2 linked regions of the Tribolium castaneum genome follow. The protein of the gene in region 1 interacts with the protein of each later gene in a pairwise test. Links are inferred from orthologs where the notes say so. Each region holds a gene or a part of one and is shown on either strand. Other genes may lie near its edges.

Region 1 (5,957 bases):
TGCATATAACTTGTGATCAGATTTTGACGTACAGTTTTTTTGATACAATTGGTTTCATAAAATCGCTCGATTTTATTTAGTGAATTATAAACAATATCAGTTGTCATATTGGCAGAATTTCCAATTTCCTGAGCAAACTGTACCGTTGACGCTCTGTTTTCATTAATTTTAGATAATGTACTCGACGGAATTTCATATTTTTTTTTCTTTTTCACCCCACTGTCCATTTCTTTTTCAATAGTTAGATGCCATTTTTCTAGAAAATGTGCCAATTTTTGCGAAACTAAAACTTGCATAACACTGCGCCGAATTGTGACGAATAATTTCGAGTTAAAGAAGTTCGCGCATGCTTTGTTCATTAAAATAATTTTGAGTTAGAGAAATTTTCGAGTTAGAGAAGTTCGAGTTAAAGAAAGCTAAACACATGTAAATAAGATTGGCAATGCAAGGGGAAACAAAAATTTTTGAGTAAGAGAGAAATTCGAGTAAAGGAAGTTCGACTTAAAGAAGTTTGACTGTAGTTAGTTAAATATAGTGAGGCCAATTTACAAAACACTTAATTGCAATCAAATTTTAATTCGCCTGATATAAACCGGCCCCTAGGTGTAATATGACTTATGAGTAAGCATATACGTATAATATAACATATTTTTGTTTTTACAGAGTTTCATTATAAAAGAGACTGCAATCGACGAGCTCTGTGTCAGAAGCCACAAATTGTTTCAAAAAGATTAATTTTTTTGAGAAAATACGAGGAGTATAAAACAGTGAATTTATACGACTTTCTCGACGAGACATAGATTTTTGCCAAAGGAGGAACTTGGAAAACTTGGAAAACGCTTCCCTAATATTTTCTTCAAAGACAAAATCAGACGATTACCACGACAACGTGTCTCCTTGAAAAGCTCTTACCGTCTTTAGAAGATCCGACAATAATTGTATTAGACAACGCATCTTATATTCTTAAATATTTAAGTTTTTTTGAAAATTATTGGATTTGCACCTGACACTTAAAAAATTCGGTAGCTTTTTTAGTTTGAGAAATTTCGAAATTATCTTTGAAGAATTAAAAGAGAAAGCCTATAAAATCTGTTTTCTAATGTGTTCAAAATTGGAAAAGAAGTGTAAAAAACCCAAAATTTTAAAGTTAAGTTTGTACAACTTCAAGTACCCATAACTTATATTAATATCCTAATTTTTATTTTACTAGATGGAGGAGAATATTTTTCTTTATCGATCTATATTAGCATTTCCTATAACCATCTATTATAAATACAGGCTAATCCAGAAATACTGAGACTGTTGGCAACATTGAATTTAAATTTTATAGAATACCATTGGAGTACGCTTCCAGTTAACAACAATTCAACAATCTTGTGGTATTGTATGTTAAATAATTGTCAAAAGTAATCGAATTCGGTTGCAGTCTTGCAAATTACGAGCCATTGTTGCCAACAAACTCAGTTTTTGTGGATCAGTGTGTAATATTCTCAGTGATAGTCCAAAACTAGCTGTATATTTGGTTGCCTATCCGGCAACAAATTTTGACCAAAATTGATTAATACAAAATGTAGACAATTCCCGAATAAGTCAGGAACATAAAATCAAATAAAGTGGAGGTTAATTTATCTTTTTATTATTAGGTAAACATTTAAACACAGTTATAAATAAATCATGTACAAAATTAAACTCAATTCTGTTGCTGTTGCAGCTTTAATTCCACAATTTCCACAATAGCATCTCTAATTTTGCTTTTTTCCAACCCCAAAATTTGAATTTTCTCCATCTGTTCTGTCACAAACTGAATTTTCCGCTTAAAGTAATCTTTAGCAGCATCAATATCCTAAAAAATTCAATCATTAACACACAATTTCAACATCAACATTGCTGCACCTTTTCTGCATAATATCTGGTTCCGATATCGATCAACACATTGTTGGTCTCGTGCAACTTTCCAGGCACGTACATCTTAAAAAAAAACTTTCATTAAAGTTCGTAAATATTACTCAAATTACCGATCCTGTTAACGGCACTAAAATCTCTTTTCCATCCGAATCGGGGCCAACTTTCTCCAGAGACTCTCCGGAGTTTTGAAATTTCGTCTGTGCCATTTTGAGGGACGCAAGAGATTCTTGAAAGAGCGACAATTCCTGGAAAAAGAGCAGTTTTTAGAATCATGTGCAAGGTTTGAGGTTAGGGCACATACCTGGTCTAACTGTTGCTTTAACGTTGATAACTGCTGGATATTTAGCGTCATCAGATCCACTTGCTTCATATTAGGCTGTTCTGTGGACGAAATTTGAGCCATTTTTCTAATAAATTAATAACTAATAAATGGACAAACAAGGTAGTGTCAAATAGCAATGGAGTAGAGACAAATTGCACTGTTTGAATGAACTACTCGTCGAAAGACAATGCTGTGTCTTTCATACAAGCACTGCTTTGCATTATTTTTTTAAAATTGTTTCCAGTTAAATAAATCTGTATACGTTTCGTATTTATTGGTACATATTAAAAAAATTAACAGCAAGTAGTTCCAATTTAGATACATTTAGTAGATAAATTGCATCTATTGGACTTTCTTGATTGGTGATTTTGTAATAACGTTTTTTGAACTTGATGTTTGTACACTTCAGTCAGTTTTATGATTTAATTGTGTTTTTAATAAGTTGAGAAGTCTTTTGAACAATGTACCGACGGTCAAACAGCAGCTCCCAACTTCCAGTCCCCAATAGGTCACGCTCAAAGTCTTCTGTCAGCAGGTAAAATAATGTAAACTTGTAGTACCTAATTTAGGTCCTGGTTTATTAAAAAAGTAAAAAATTACCAAAAGTACCCTTCTCCTAAATTCCTTCTTCAAGAAATTCAAATGAAATTATTGGCTCTAATTTGTTTTAAAGAGTTAGTGCAAAAGATGACAATGCAAAAAGGTTCAGGGCGAATTCCATGGACCGAACCTTAAATCCGCCCTTGAAAAGATCAACAAGTTCGTCAAATTTGAGAAGACCTTCGGTTACTCCATCAGTTAGGTTTTGTTTTGTTTCGAGAACTTTATCACTCTAATGCTGATTGTAGGTTTCTTATAAAAAATCAACGGTCATTACTCCGACTCTGGTAAAACAGTAAATACAATTGACATAACGTTAAACACCTATTTATTTCAGAATTCTGGGTTAAAACGATCAAATTCTGTAAGTGTTTTAAGTACGGATATCTAAAGATTAGGATACGAAACGATGTACATACAAATAAAACGTTCCCGTTTTTAATGGTTCCGCTAATGTCGCCAGAGGGCGCAGTTAAAAAAGTTTTCTCTCTTAATACGCAACAGAATTTCAAATACAGACTGATCCAGAAAAACTGAGTCTATTGGCAACACATTTGAAAGTATTTGTGCTCGTAATTTGTAACATTGCAACCGAATTCGATTTTTCTTGACAATTATTTGACGTCCAACTCCACAAGAATGTTAAATTCTTGTTAACTTGAAGCGTACTTCATTGGTATCCTTAAAAATTTAAGTCCAGTGTTGCCAACAGACTCAGTATTTCTGGATCAGTCTGTATTATGTGTACATCATATTAAAGGTTTTTTAATTCTACAGGCTAATGCGTTGAAAAAGTAAACTCCTTTAAGAAAAGGTTTAATTTATTTTTGAGATATTGCGATTGATGTAAAAGTCGCGTTATTTTATCAGTAAACTTCAAAATTTGTTTTAGGGTTTTGATATTTATTACAAAATATGAAATTTCAACTAATTTAACAAACGCCATGTAGTAGAACACTGTTGTTTTTAAATTATCAATGAATAGACTGATTTTGTCATATAATCCCCCATAGTTTATTGCTTTTGCCTATAGAGGCGTTGCTCGTGCCGTTTCTGTGGATGGTCTTTTGGTTGCTACCTGTTTTTGTCCCAACTAAAGCAAAGGACGGATTGTGGTCATTTTTAGTGTTGTGTAATTAGTGTAATTACCATAATATTTTTCGGTTATTTTAAAGAACCAGTGGCTGAAACATATGAGGGACAAAAGTTATTTTTCTGATAGGAGATTTTTTGAATTTGAAGTTTCCTTAACTATTTTTTTAAATAACTGCTTTGTAGGTTTATTTATTATGCATATCAATTTTGAACATTATGACAAAATGAGAAAATAATGTATTATTATTATTATTAAATCCATAATTTTTGCACATAAGCCATTATCTTGTTATTTAAGTTCGCCTTTTTCAGTGTAGTATATCACAGAATAAGTTTTTGTAATATTAGAGATCAATATTTGACACTGAAATTGGTATACAAGTGTGTAGTGCGTAATTTTTAAATTCTTTTTTTATATACAGTCTTCACTAAGTCAAAATTTTGAATTTTGATGAAGAAACAGCCACTTTTGTTTGTTTGGTTGAAAACTTGGGATTATGTTTTGTCCAAATTTAGATTTTTGTGTTTTTTGAATTCATTTAATTTTTTTCGAACATTGGGCTTTTCGGGTATTATTTCTTGATGTCGCTGGGCATTTGATTTACACAAGTGCAGATTCCTAATATCCAACCTGGAGGAGCTGCTAAAAATGGTTTTTTTTATATCAGGCCAACTTCTTGACTTTTTAATATTTTAATAGTCACTTTTTCTTACTTCACCCCTTACCTCATATTTATTAGCATTTCCGCGAAACATTACATATAATAAATTTTCCACCATAATTTGTGAACAAAAAAAAAAGTTTTACTGAGGTGATGGTGTGTATTTTAATAAATTATTTTACGTTGTTACTTATAACTAAACTCAAAAGCAATAGGTTTCACGTTAATATTTGTTGTTTTCGGTTTATAACTTTTATGTTACTTGAAATATTGCCATGTTTCATTATTCGATAGATCGACTTACAAGTACACAAACTAAAAATATTTTTACTGCACACAGGGTGTTGTATACAGGCTCGTGAACCAAAGTTATATTTTTTAAATCAAACCCCTTATATATTTTGCATAATTAGATTCTACGCAAAAAAAATAAAACTGTTATGGGTCTATCTCTTTTCGTTTCGGAATTATTTAAGTTTTTGTTATAAAAAAGACCAATTTTTGAAAAATCATTGCGAAGTCACCTATGAATATTTTCCGATAAATTTGCAACAGAAAAACTTGGAATATTCTGTAGTTTCAGCATTAGTCGACTTTTACTTGAAACACCCAGATAATGTACAGATGTGCCAAAACGTAAAAAAGTTGAATAACTCATATATTTTTCAAATGGAACACTATGTATTTCTTTACACGTGTCGATAGCATTTTTATAAGTTTTCTAACGATATGCGGTTTGTATAGTAAATTAGAAATATTTCCTAAAGTGTTTTTTTCTTTTTTCTTTTATATTTTATTATTAATTTTTGATGTGTAAAATTCATTGATGTATCAAGTAATAATTAAATTACTAATGTAATTAGTCACATTACATTAGTACATATCAAAAAATTAATTATCATTTGACAAATCAGATTCTAGGATAACAAATTTCTTGTAATAAAATACTTTTTTTTAATCTCGAAAAATGTTTTAAATTTGCTATGTAAACCCTATACCATTAGAAAGCTTATGCAAAATGCTATCGATACGTGTAAAAAATACATGGTGTTTTTTAAAAAAATTGACTCATTCAACTTTTTGCGTTTTAGCACACCCTGTACATTATCTGCGTGTTTCAAGTACAAGTCGACTATTTGCTAAAACTACAAAATATTCTGAGTTTTTCTAATGCATAAATAATCACTTCACAGTGATTTTTTAAAAATCTTTTTCATAACGAAAAGTTGAATAATTCCGAGTCGAAAAGAAATAGATCCAAATAGTCCACATAAAGTTATATTATTTTTTTGCGTAAAATTCAACTATGCAAAAATAATTTAAAATAAGTTATATTTAAAAAAATATAACTTTGGTACACCAGCCTATATACA
Region 2 (5,575 bases), on another chromosome or scaffold:
ATGGATTTAGAAAATAAATTACCTCATTTTTTGTTGTGTCAACTGTCTTTTTGAGTTTACCAAGTTTAGTTTCAAACTGTTCTTTCTTCACTTGTAGATCTTTCGTCTCATGACCGATATTTTCCATTAATTTTGCCTTCTCTGCTTGTAATTTTTCGTGCTGTGATGTTAAATCACGCTCTCGCTTCTCACACTCTCCAATGAGCTGCAGAAAAAAGTTAACAAAAATTAAATACAAGTAATTGTCATTACTTTTGCATTTTCTTCAGGCACTTTTTGTAACTTAATTAGTTTCTTTTTTTCATCTTCCAGCTGTTGCTTAAATTTTTTCCTGTTATTGTTAGTGTTTGTCATTTCGGCTTGTAGTTGGGCATCCTTTTTATCAGCCGCATTGAAAGCATCCTTGAGTTGATCCTTTTTCTGTTGCAACTTTTCATATTTTCTAGAAAAAAAATTGTTAAAACAAATCAATGTTTCAATAGCTATTTAAGTGAATAATACAAAATTGTTTAAATAATTTTTTGAAGGGATAAAAGCTCTTTATTCACGTATAGCATTCAATATTTTTAGAACGTTAAATCACAATTACATTTCAGTTCGCTTTTTGAAAACCTAAATTTTAATATTTAAATGAAAAAGATGAATAAATAGTTATTTATTATACAAGACCATAAAGAGATTGTTTATTTACGATTAAGTTCAAGAATAACAAAGACTTATTTCACGAAAATAATACTTTGATTTTTCTATAGCAGAGACATTAAGTTTAAAAAAAAAAGCTATTGTTAATCCTTAAAATTAACATGTTGGAATTTGTAACTTTATAAATTATTGAATACAATGAATTTAAAACAATTTATGTACGCTTGTGGTAAAGTGCTATTTTATGTACTCAAAAGAATTGATAAAGAAATAATGTATCATCTGATACAGAAAAAACGGTTGTGTGGCAGAGTGAATAAAGCGTTGCTATAAATATTTTATTTATTCTTTTGATTCATTTTATTGATTAAACTATTGTTTTATTAATCAGATTTAATTTATAAAATGAGTATTTTATTAATAGCATTGAATAAACGATTTATTTACCCAGCTTCTTGCTTCAAAATTTTCTCTTTTTCAGTTTTTTCATCTGAAATGGTTTTCAATTCTGCAATTAAACCGTCACGACTTTGTGTTAACTTCGCCTTGTCTTCTTCCACTTCTTTCACTTCAGCTTCTAAATCATGTCTGGAAAAAACGGGTTATAAATGGCACTCATTCCAAACAAACTCACAATTCTTTCTGATGCAAGAAATTCTTACAAACTGCAATTTTGTTCTCTGTTTTCAGAAAAGTAAGCGCTTCTTCCATAGGTCCCTTGAGTTGTTCCAACTGTTTTTCAATCAATGTGAGTCTGTTGAGTTTTTCAGTGCGCAAATCCGACAAATATTCTATTCTCTCATTTAATTGCTCCAAGGGTTTCTACAACAAATTTTTTTTTTTTGTGTTAAACTAATTAAACTTCTTACTTTGTATCTGTGTGTTCCAATGATATCTTCCAGATATTCCAACATTCCTATTTCGTTTTCATTTGCTCCTTTACATTTCATCATTGCGATTTCCTCAACTTCGCCCTAACAAAATTTCATTCAAAAATAAAGCACTTGAAGGAGAAATAATCGCAAACCTGCAAAATCAGAAACCTGTTAGTGTCGATATCAATTCCATGCCCCTTCAACAATTTCCCAATTTCCTTAAATTGGACTCTTCGTCCATTGAGCTCATAAAACGAACTGTTGTCTCTATTGGCAGTCCTTGACACGACAAATTCACTACCTGGAACAACCTCATACTCTTCCCCGGGCTAAAAACAATCACTTATTCACAATTTCATAAAATTAAGCCTTACCTTATCTACGATTTCACAAAAATGCACCGCCACATTGCAAGACTGAACATTAGGATACCGTTCAGAATTGTGAATCAACACTGATAATTTTTTGCACCTCATGCGAGTGGCCCTATATCCAAACACAAACAGCATCGAATCAATGACATTGCTCTTGCCGCTACCGTTGGGGCCAATGATGGCATTAAAACACTACAAAACACTCATTGTCTCTTGTCCAAACCGTCACAAACGTACCTTAGAGAAGGGCCCCAAAACTACATTTTCAGCGTAACTTTTAAAATAATTGTTCACGATCTTTGTGATTATTAAGCGAGTTTGCGACTTCTCGACGTTCCTACGTTTCAAAGGGGGCGGAATGTAAATATCATCCACATAAATACCCTCTTCGTCCGAAAAGTTCAAGTCTTCTTCGACTTGGCTGTTGTCTGGGTGTTCGCGCTTCTTTCCTCTGTTTTCCGTCATTTTTACACATACATAACATACAAGAAACTGCGGAACACAAGCATAACACAACTAAACTCGTTGAAAACACAAAGCACGAAGAAATTTCAAATTTTAACGGTTATGTTGCGTTGTTTTGTTTAGGGTGAAGTTAGTTGCATTATTTAATTCATGTATTAATACGGGTCGTGTAATAAGTGTAAATCGCCCCCTTATTTTCAGTAACTAACTGAGTTTAACGAAATACAGGATAATTATTCTTTTTTAGAGCGAAATAAATTTTTTGTCCTTAGTATATCTAGTTGGTGACGTAGAAATCCCTAGACGTGTGGGTGGTCGGCCTGTTTGATTTTGACGTTTGCCCAAAAAGGAAAAATTAAGATACACTTTTATATTTACTCCAAGATTATAAAACCGAGCAATGAGTGAAGATCTGCAAAGAAAAATCCAGTCGGAGCTGGACAGTTTCAAAAACACACAAAAAGGTACAATAATCTGGTTTTTTGTCCAACCTAACCAAACTTTTCCAGAGTTGCAAAAGGCGATTTCAACGAGACAACAATTAGACAGTCAGTTAAACGAAAATATGATTGTTAAAGACGAATTAGAAATCCTTCCTAAGGATGCTAAAGTGTACAAGTCCGTTGGTCCAGTCCTTATCAAAACTGAACTTGTTGAAGCTAGACAAAATGTGGGCAAACGAATGGATTATATCAAGAAAGAGATTTCGAGGGTTGATGATTTGATCACTTCGATTGAAAAGAAGCAAGATGTGCATAGGGAGGCGCTCCAAAAGCTGCAACATCAGTTTCAACAGGCGCAAGTGAAGGCTGCATTACATGCTTAATTTTGCGAAAAAATCACTTATTTATTAACACGTTTTGTAATACGAAAGAATAATAAAAATCTCGTTAACGCTTTATTTATTTAGTCAATTATCCACTGTTTCTGTTCAACCATGCTACAATGTGTTCAGCTTTACGAAGCCCTGTATACGTTATGGGATAGCCCCCTTTAAACAGTCTCAGTGCTGGAAAACCCCCAATTTCTTGTTCTCGAACTAATGCCTTCTCGACTGTCGCGTCCACTTGTCCCAGTTTAATTTTTGATTGTTGTTTCTCAAGAATCTTGCACACTTTTAAATACTCGGGGGCAAAAGCCTTGCAATGGCTACACCACGGCAGATAAAATTTAACCATTAAAAGTTCGTGATGACTGACCGCCTCTTTAAAATTAAATTGGTTCAAAATCAAAATTCCGTCTTCGGTGGGAAATTCATCTTTTTTACCACCCCCAAGAAAGGAAAACGTGGAACTGATTAAACCAAACGCCGACACGAAAGGGTGCAACATTTTGTGTAAAGTTAGCAGTAAGAAGGCCCCTTCAGCACACAACAGATTTTAAGCATTTTGACCTTGTTTTCAAATATCTCGAAAAATGTTAAAATTTGAAGGGAGCTGCCTTGTTTTTCTATTGCTCCGCTTCAGCACAAAAATGAATACGACTTCAGAGTCCTGTTTCACAAGGTTAACGCCTTTAAAAGAAAAACAGTACTTATTATTAAATTATTATTATTAAACTAATAATTTTAAAGAACATCAGGTAAAAAGGAATTGACGTTTAAAATCCGCGCAGTTTTGAATGTCAATTGTCAAATGTGCAAAAGATTGGTTAGGTTAGCCAAATTTTTAAAACGAAGTTAAAATAAATAAACAAATAATAACAATAATGAATATCCTCGACACGGTGTTGTGCACATCGAAAGCTGAAAAATATTCAAGCAATTTTAAACAATTCAGCATTGATGCATTCACTCTCAAATTGTTCAATGAAGAAGATTTAAAAATCTTGGGTATTGAGGAGGAAGAAATTCGATTAGCTGTTTTACAACATGCTAATAATTTACAAATACCTGCAGAGTATTTTTTACAACCGAATAATTACACAATTTCTAATGTTTTTTTTGCAGAAAACATACAGAGGTTTTGATAGATGAAAAATACGTACAATTAGTTTTAGCCCAAATGTCTATGCATTTGACGAAACATTTAGCTGCTCTTTCTATTGCAGTGAATAGAAGGGATACAATTGTGTGCAATGTTCAGTTGAAACCAGCTGCCCATTGTTTGCAAAAATGTGTAGAATCTTTAGAAAAACAATTAGACGAGTTTGAGCAAAAGGTAGTTTTGCAACACGTCTGAACTATAATTAATTTCTACTGTTGCAGATTGTTAGAAAAAACAGGAAGATATGGTACAAACAAATTCTCATTCCTATTATAATTCCATCACTTGTGTTTGCCTCTTTCAAAGCCTATAGAATTATTCTAAAACTGATGTAATAAATTGATTTTGCAAAAAACTGTCTCGGTTTAAATTTCGCGCCTCCAATAAAGCCAACATAAAAAACACTAATGTTTAACAACACAAAAGATGATTGATCAAGAAAGTAAATATTGCGCTAAAGTGTAAGAAAACGTGATCATAAGTAAAACGTGCAATTTTCTTTGACTATTTCAACTTTAAAGTAATATTTAAAGCCAGTGGAAAAAAGTTCCAACTCATACCAGTGACGTGGATGTGTTTTGTGAGGTTATGTCACAGACGTTTTAAATTTAAAATTTTCTTTATATAAATCGCCAAATTAAAATAGAAAATGTTTGAGGTCACCGATACTCAAAGTATGTTTAAACAATTGCCAAAATATGTTTGGTGATAATATTTTTTTTACAGAAATTGGGGTCGGCCTGGCTGGCTTTGGGATGTTTTTCCTATTTTTGGGTGTTTTATTACTCTTCGATAAGAGTTTATTAGCGTTAGGAAATGTAAGTAAATAATTTCTTGCTGTTAGCGCATGTAAAAACATCACATTTCGTTTTGTTGCAGATATTGTTTATAGCTGGATTGGCATGTGTTATAGGATTAGAACGAACGTTTAGATTTTTTTTCCAAAGGCACAAAATCAAAGCCTCAATCTCCTTCTTTGGTGGAATAGTGATAGTGCTTGTAGGTTGGCCGTTAGTTGGAATGCTCTTTGAAACTTACGGATTTGTATTATTGTTTAGGTATAATGTGTCTTGTGTCTGAGAGTTGTAAAATTGACAAAGCATAATTTTAGTGGCTTTTTCCCAGTTGCCATCAACTTTCTCAGAAGAGTACCCATTTTAGGAACATTTTTAAATTTCCCAGGGATTAGCAAGGTACTCAAATTTCGAAACAGTTTAATTTGGAATAATATCTC

What was found. The genes of interacting proteins can lie anywhere in the genome.
Region 2: the proteins of Pfdn5 (region 1) and Pfdn6 interact in a two-hybrid assay, tested with the Caenorhabditis elegans proteins (2 studies listed by BioGRID). The link is inferred for Tribolium castaneum from reciprocal best matches to the Caenorhabditis elegans genes pfd-5 and pfd-6.

What each region holds. Positions count from the first base shown.
Region 1 is NC_087400.1:9,619,667-9,625,623, reverse strand, and holds Pfdn5 (prefoldin subunit 5), read right to left. Parts: upstream 2,388-5,957; 5' UTR 2,309-2,387; coding exon 2,207-2,308; intron 2,151-2,206; coding exon 2,016-2,150; intron 1,969-2,015; coding exon 1,894-1,968; intron 1,844-1,893; coding exon 1,691-1,843; 3' UTR 1,615-1,690; downstream 1-1,614. Other genes in the region: uncharacterized protein LOC103314387, read left to right, coding at 2,689-2,762, 2,901-3,024, 3,076-3,114, 3,165-3,191. UniProt on the Caenorhabditis elegans protein: Binds specifically to cytosolic chaperonin (c-CPN) and transfers target proteins to it. Binds to nascent polypeptide chain and promotes folding in an environment in which there are many competing pathways for nonnative proteins.
Region 2 is NC_087394.1:25,215,838-25,221,412, forward strand, and holds Pfdn6 (prefoldin subunit 6), read left to right. Parts: upstream 1-2,619; 5' UTR 2,620-2,756; coding exon 2,757-2,820; intron 2,821-2,865; coding exon 2,866-3,182; 3' UTR 3,183-3,257; downstream 3,258-5,575. Other genes in the region: glu (structural maintenance of chromosomes protein 4), read right to left, coding at 23-205, 253-442, 1,090-1,230, 1,277-1,464, 1,512-1,616, 1,670-1,846, 1,892-2,083, 2,129-2,356; vesicle transport protein GOT1B, read left to right, coding at 4,991-5,015, 5,068-5,159, 5,221-5,399, 5,453-5,534. UniProt on the Caenorhabditis elegans protein: Binds specifically to cytosolic chaperonin (c-CPN) and transfers target proteins to it. Binds to nascent polypeptide chain and promotes folding in an environment in which there are many competing pathways for nonnative proteins.